2 linked regions of the Coturnix japonica genome follow. The protein of the gene in region 1 binds, or shares a complex with, the protein of each later gene. Links are inferred from orthologs where the notes say so. Each region holds a gene or a part of one and is shown on either strand. Other genes may lie near its edges.

What was found.
Region 2: the proteins of MED1 (region 1) and PPARG are in contact, whole or in part, in a crystal structure (PDB 6ONJ), measured with the Homo sapiens proteins. The link is inferred for Coturnix japonica from reciprocal best matches to the Homo sapiens genes MED1 and PPARG. Residues at the interface, in NP_004765.2 of Homo sapiens: Asn638, Thr639, Asn641, His642, Pro643, Met644, Leu645, Met646, Leu648, Leu649, Lys650, Asp651; in NP_056953.2 of Homo sapiens: Val321, Gln322, Thr325, Glu326, Lys329, Phe334, Leu339, Asn340, Asp341, Gln342, Val343, Thr344, Leu346, Lys347, Gly427, Leu429, His494, Pro495, Leu496, Glu499, Ile500, Lys502.

The regions. Positions count from the first base shown.
Region 1 is NC_029542.1:3,842,850-3,846,600, reverse strand, and holds the start of MED1 (mediator of RNA polymerase II transcription subunit 1), read left to right. Parts: upstream 1-883; 5' UTR 884-1,060; coding exon 1,061-1,088; intron 1,089-1,945; coding exon 1,946-2,052; intron 2,053-2,511; coding exon 2,512-2,590; intron 2,591-2,974; coding exon 2,975-3,029; intron 3,030-3,159; coding exon 3,160-3,292; intron 3,293-3,618; coding exon 3,619-3,647; intron 3,648-3,751. Other genes in the region: CDK12 (cyclin-dependent kinase 12), read right to left, coding at 1-127. UniProt on the Homo sapiens protein: Component of the Mediator complex, a coactivator involved in the regulated transcription of nearly all RNA polymerase II-dependent genes.
Region 2 is NC_029527.1:3,245,480-3,249,130, reverse strand, and holds part of PPARG (peroxisome proliferator-activated receptor gamma), read right to left. Parts: intron 2,748-3,651; 5' UTR 2,740-2,747; coding exon 2,520-2,739; intron 953-2,519; coding exon 783-952; intron 47-782; coding exon 1-46. UniProt on the Homo sapiens protein: Nuclear receptor that binds peroxisome proliferators such as hypolipidemic drugs and fatty acids.

The DNA.
Region 1 (3,751 bases):
ATTTATGCCTCTTATGCCTTGAAGCCACCCGGTGCCTCTCCTTGCTATTGGAGCTGCCCGATGAGTGCAGCGAGGTCCCCCCGCCGCCCCCATCCTTCTTCCCCCCATGTCTCTCTTGGTTTGGCATTCCTCCTCCTCCACTGTGCTGGGACAGGGGGAGGCGGGGGCGCTCCTCCAAATCCTCCTCGACTTTCCAACTCCCTCAGCCTCCCTCTATTCGAACCATTCACCGCCCCCCGGCACCTCCTGCTGCATGGGGAGCGGGACGGAGAGAGCGAGGAGGAAGGGAACAACGGGGAGAGGGAGAATGGGAAAGGAACGGAACCGGGAGCGGCGGGGAAGGACACCGGGCCTCAGCGCCTCATCCGAGGGGCCCAGGCCCGGAGGGCAGCGCCGCCGCGGGGGGAGCCCCGGGAAGGCGGGAGCTGGGCCCACGATCCCTCCCGGTCCCGTTGTGTCCGGTTCCCTCCCGCCCTGTCCCAACCCTCAGTACCGGGTTCCCACCGTGCGGCCCCGTTCGGTCCCCGCCGCCCCGGCCCGGCCCAGCGCCCCCCGCTCACTTCCCAAAGCGAAACGGCTCCTCGGCCCAAGGGGGGCACCCGCCAAGTCTCGCGAGATAACTGCTGCTTCTCGCGAGACTCGGCCTGAGCCCTCCCCCCGCGAGATTTCAAGCGCTGAGAATTGGGAAGGCGGAAGGGAGTGCGCGCGCGCGCACCGTCTTCTCGCGAGGTCTGAGAACGAACTTTACTCCGTCCCGGGGAGCGCACGAAGCCCCGCCCCTTCCGCCCGCTCAGCACCAATCAGCATCCAGGGGGCGGGGCTTGAGCGCAACGCCCCGCCCCCTAATCACTCCCCCTTCTCACCATGACTCCCTACCTCTCGCGAGACTCAGAAGTTCTCGCGAGAAGCGGGAGCCGCGGCCGGAGGGATGGCGGCGGGCGCCGCCGTGTGAGGCCGGAGCGGAGCGGCCCGGCCGCGGTTTATCCCCATCCCTTCCCGTTTATCGACGTGATACCGGCCCTGTGGCTCCGCCGCGGGCCGCCCCTCCCCTCCCTGAGGCATGAAGGCGGTGCCGGGAGGCGCTGAGGGTGAGTGCGGCCTAGCGGGGCTGCGCTGTGTGGAGGCGGAGGGAAGGCCCGGCCTCCTCGGGATGGGGGGGGTTCCACAGCTCGAGGGACGGCGGTTGGGCCTGCAGGGAACGGCGGAGCCCGGCCGTGGGGTCCCAGTGGGTCTCTATGGGGTCTCTATGGGTCCCTATGGGTCCCTATGGGTCCCTATGGGGTCTCTATGGGTCCCTATGGGTCTCTATGGGTCCCTATGGGTCTCTATGGGATCTCTATGGGTCCCTATGGGTCTCTATGGGGTCTCTATGTGTCCCTATGGGTCCATACTCACCATGTGTGGGTCGTCGGGTCCCCTCCCCACTTTGGGTCTCTATGGATCCCTATGGGTCCCAGTGGGTTTCTATGGGTCTGAATGGGCTTCAATGGGGTCCCCATGGGTCTCAATGGGTCTCAAAGCTGGGCATTAAGCAGCTCCAGAGCGGGGCTGTGGTGGATGGAAATAAAGGCTGATGGGCTCCTGTGGTAGCGAACCGTTCGGTTGTTTGTTCTGCTTTGATTTGATGGGGTTGGCATTAAGTCCATGACATCTGTGTGTATCAGTTTATAAACCCTTCTGATTCTATAGGCCTTGTAGGGTCATGTTCTATGGCAGTTATGTTGCCATAGACTTGTGTTGGAGCCAGAAATACCTGGTATCAGGGAGATGCCTTCCATAACAATGTAACTTAATAAAGTGCTACAATGAGTTTTAGAGCCCCACAATGTATAGATTGGATTCAGCACACATTTATAAAGGCTGAGTGTGTCCCGGCTTGGAAGGGCTGTGCAATCAGCTCACGTTCTCTTTTGTTTCTATGTTTTCATTCCGCTTTGTCTGACAGAGGCAGAGAAGCTGAATAAGATGAGTGCTCTCTTAGAAAGACTTCATGCAAAGTACAACCAAAACAGACCTTGGACTGAAACCATGAAGCTGGTCCGTCAAGTCATGGTGAGAAGTGCTGGGGTTTCCTTTACAGTGATGCTCAACACTCAGTGTTATCTCAGTCAGATGCAGCTTTGAAATACCTTGGTGAGGGTAGAAAGGAGTGGGAGGCAGGGAAGAGCATCATCAAAAGCTGCTGTATGTGTTGTGGTGTTAAAGTTAATCTCTCTTTGTTTCTCTTGCTCCTCTCATATAACTCGTAGCTTATGCTATTTAAGAAGTTGTTGCAGTCTGATCTTTCACAAGAGCAAGCTTAATAATCAATTCCAGACCTGCCTGTTTTACCCACTGCAAATATGGATATGATTCTGGTACAGGAATCGCAATGAGGGTGTAATTTGGGGATGAAATCCAATCTGCCTTTAATTACCTGAATAAACCTCACTCGACTGAATGAAAATTGCAGTAATTTTCCTCTCATGGAGTGAAACTTTAAAACGACTGTTTTTCTTCTTTCTGACGTAGGAAAAACGACTTGTGATGAACTCTGGGGGGCACCAACATCTGGTGAGCTGTTTGGAGACCTTGCAAAAAGCATTAAAAGGTTGGTACGTGCTGTGCCTGCACTCAGGAAATGCTTAACAGTGATATACTATGGAAATACTCTGTATTAGAGGAACCTGCGAGGTTATTGCTTGCAAAGCTCAGTGTGCTCGTGGTGCTTATAGAAGCATGCTTATTTCTTGTGAGTCATTATCAGCCAAAATTGCCTGTGTTGCTTTTATTCTTATTGCCCATACATGGATTCCACTTGTGGATGAAAATCCACACTGAGAATGTTTGTTTTTCTCTATGCAAAACGATTCTTGTTTTTTGAGTATGGAGTGGGTGTGAGTAAGTAGTTGGGATTGCTTTTAATGCTGATACATCATTACTGGAAAGATGTTCAGTCGTATCACTAAGGCTTATTTTTGCTTTCTTTGTCTAGTGTCTTCTCTGCCTGCCATGACAGATCGCCTGGAGTCCATAGCCAGACAAAATGGGTACATCTTCTCCTTTGTTTCACAGCAGTTTTGTATCTCCTACTTATCTGTATACATCATAATTTTGCTGCTGGTTTGACTGTTTCTTGTGTGTATCTCTTAGTAATTTTTGCTTTGTTTTGTATTTAAGCCTTGGATCACACCTCAGTGCAAATGGCACCGAATGTTACATCACTTCAGACATGTTCTATGTGGAAGTCCAGTTAGATCCTACAGGGCTGCTATGTGATGTCAAGGTGGCTCACCATGGAGAGAATCCTGTGGTACGTATTGCTAAGAAATACAAGAAAAATACCTTTGTTTTTGGAACTGCAGTTTTGCTTCCCTTTTTCTTGTGCAGAGAAAATGGATTGTACTGAACATTCCCCCAAACCTAATGTTATATCTGCTTGTTCTGCTGCTTCTGAAAGTTTCATTTCTGGGGGAAGAATAGGGAAATTAATCTTGTATTTGTGAGTGTTTTGTTGCTTCTCATCAAAACTGATGCTCACAGACTTCACTGTCCTGATATTTTACAGCTGCTGTGCTGCACAAAGACTTACACTGAAGCATTTGATGTTGATTTTGCTGTGTGTTCTTTCCTTTTCAGAGCTGTCCAGAATTGGTGCAACATCTGAGGTGAGCAACAAGAGCTGTTGCATCATTCTGATTTTGGTCTGATTCTGTTTTATGCTTGGAAACACAGAACGTTTCTGAACTGCTCTTTCCCCATGAAGTCTCTC
Region 2 (3,651 bases), on another chromosome or scaffold:
ACCTGTCATAAATGAGCTTTAATCTGATTGTTCTTCGAAAAAAGCCCTGTAATAAACATAAAAGCATGTAAAAAGGTAGAATAAGCACTGCCAGTGTCACTGTCTCAATTCTGTATAGACACGCAAAGCACAGTTCTGCATGTACACAGTCTAACTTTGTATTAGACAGATTTCTGAAGAAAGCAATGCTTGTGTCATCATATCTGCACAGCAGCATGCTCCCATTCTAAAGCCATTTTCTGCCAGCTTGATACGGGTAAAAGTCTAAAAAATAAAAAATAAAAAATCTATAAAAACTAATGGGAATGAATGGGGTTGGAAGGATGCTATGAACATAAATTAACAGTACTACAGAAACTGTGAGCCCAAGAAACGGAAATAGGGCTTTTAGGGCTCATGGGACAAGCAGTCACTCTATTTCTTTCTGTTTGCACTGTGCTAACCTAATTTCACAATGTATATTTCCGGGTTCTATCTTTGATGTTTTATTTTCTAGTTTATTCCTGTTGTTAGGATTTTACAAGTTTGCAAAGTACACTGGCACATGAAAAAATTCAGAAACTTGATACCAAACTCTTGGTAATTATTAAACAGAAATCTTATGAGGTCCTGTAAGGACGGACATCATTATGGAAATTCACAGGTCTGTCTTTTGACAGTCTAAATGTACTTTCTGAAATCAATAATAAGTGATTAATAAAGAAACAATTTAAAAGACTTAAAGCTTATTTAAATGAAAATAATACCAAATATTCAGAGAAAACAGATTTGCAATGACTTACCTTACAGCCTTCACATGCATGAACTCCATAATGAAATCCAGAGGCCTTGTCCCCACACACACGACATTCAATAGCCATAAGTGAGTTGGAAGACTCCTCATGTGGTTTATTGTATAACTGCACTTTTTCAGAAAAATAGGGTGGAGAAGGAGGCTCCATTTTGATTGCACCTGCATATAGAGAAGATTTAAATGAGTAATTCAAAGTATGAGTAAAAATATGGTAGAAGGAAGAATCAGAAACAATCACAGTAAACATAGCCAGATTCATAGGTATGCTTTGTAACACAAAATGATGGTAGCAAACAAAGGATGTTAGGGAGTATAAGCTGTATGCAGATATTTCACTGGTAGTATGTAGGCTGAAAACCTTGAAGAGGCATATAGGAATCATGTCACAAATTCACTTTCCAGCTCTGTAGTGCAGAATGACTTTAATACAGACATGTAAAATTTGCATACAGAGACCTCCTACTTAAAAGGTCTTATTCCTTTTATTAATATCTAATTAGGTGACTTTAAGGTGTTCAGACTACTGCAGAGAGTTGAACTGGACACACTGATCCCATGAAAAACACCTAAGCATCTAATTAACCTACAGTGAATAATTTGTGTATTTAATGAAATTTAACTCTCTCCCAGGACTGCTCAACTTTGGATGCAGTTTAGAGATGAATATTCCCAAATTTTCTAAGTATTGAGAGCACACTGTGGTTGCTTGAGCTTATTCGATATTATAAGTATGACATATTTAAATCAATCACTGCTGATCAAAGAAGGCAATTGTGACAATTGACACCATATATAACATTACATCAAATCATACTTCAGGAATTACATGGCAGATGCAGTATTACCATAACGTGAATGTTTTGTTTTCTGTTTGGCTACACTAAATAAACCGGGAAGTTTTCTTTCCTACAGAAACTACAGGAAAAAAGGAAGCAGAAAATTAGCTGAGAAAAGACCAAGAGGATTTAGCATGCCTAATGATTTAGCTAATCAACTCTTTAGTTTGTTATGAAAATATTATGGAATTTTCTAATCAAGCAAAAGAGAAATAAATTATTAGCAGTAAAGTGTATTTTAATTCACTTCATAAATAACTCAGAAGCACACAGCACCTGGTTCACTCTACTACAAAACTAAATAGTATAATCTTCATGAAAAATTCCTACAAAAGTGATGTCAGATTTGAATAGACTCAGAGGATCTTTAAAAAAGTTCCAGGCACAGCAACCTGACTTCTTACTATGAGCAGGAATGCAATAGCAATTTATTTCAGAGTAGACTACTATTTTTTTATTTTTTACTTTTTCCTCCTTAGAAGGAGAATTCTGTGTACTGTCTTTACATAACTGGGGAAAGGCAATGGTTTTTTGTACCATATAAATAATACTAGGTCACAAAGCTTCAAGGAACACTGTTTTACCAACATAGATGCAGCCAATATTTCTATTCCATCAGTTTCTTAGCCTGTATGGAATTCAAAAGCTCTGTGTATTATTATTTTCTATGTATGCTGCGTGTTACTATATGACGCCTTGTCTAATCACTAGAGGCTACTTGAGTGAAGGCTGTCCTATCAGGATATCACGTGGATATCTCTGTTGATTTTTGGATTCACAGTCTCTGCATTTAGGCATTTGAATCCATCCAGTTCTTTTGCTGGTGGTACAATTTCTGGAGAACAAAGCAAATGTGAGCACGAAGAAACACTGAAAAATAAAAAACATACTTTGGCAATCCTGGAGCTTGATATCATACTTATAATCCATGCTCGTTTGATCAGCTCTTCCAAGAGGTATATCTTCATAGTGTGGTGAAGAAATGCTTGAGAAGTCAACAGTGGTAAATGGCTTTATGTCAAAGGAATGCATATGATCATCCATCGTAGACAGATCCACTGGGCTAATTCCAAAATTAACGGGCCAAAACGGCATTTCTGTGTCAACCATTGTAATCTCTGAAAACAAAAGAAGAAACAGGCTTTTTAAAGATGCTACTTATTTCTGTAATGTGTTTGAGCCAAAGTTGAGGCCTAATTGTCTACTGCCCAAAGGACCGAGATGCAAAGTGTTAATATCAGAATCTTAAATGCAAGGCTCGAGGAAAGTTATTTTATAGCCTTTTAAATCTCATGTATGTTTATGCTGTAAACAAAAAGCTTCAGCCTGTGAAAATCTTTGGCAAACTGAATAAATTTAGACTGAGTAATAAAATGTTAATCTGAGTCAGATGCATATCTGACAGTCAGATGAACCAAAAATCATTGACTTAAACTTCAACTATGAAAAAGTTCACAAACTGACTCATAACAAGTGTTCATATTTAGTTTTCTATGATTCATAAAAATGACATTTTTATCTAAAAATAGAATAGAAATTATGGAACTAAAATAATTTGGTCACTTTGGCTTCTCAATTTGGACTTCAGATCCATCAAATAAGCAACTTTTAACAGCAGCTTTAGCTTCTAATTGACTGAAATAAATGAGATTTAATTTACACAAAGAAGTTTGCATGTACATTATTAACTGCTTTCCTTCCACTGAAAACTATTAACCTCAGCTATGTTGTAAATCTGTTTGCCTATTTCTGGATCACAACACACACAATATGTAATTTCTTCGTACAACAAAACAGCCAGGCAATAATGACCCCAAATCAATGATGTTCATAAGCACTTCAGAATTATAAGAATTCGGTTTTGGATATAAAATCAGAACATTTCAGCATGGATTTAAAGATATAATCTTTACATATGACTGATCTCATAAATATCCTGCAAACTGAATACAATTTACTATTACAGTGGAAGCAAAATGAGTTTTACCAATATTGTCTGATTTGTATTATAAATACTAGAGG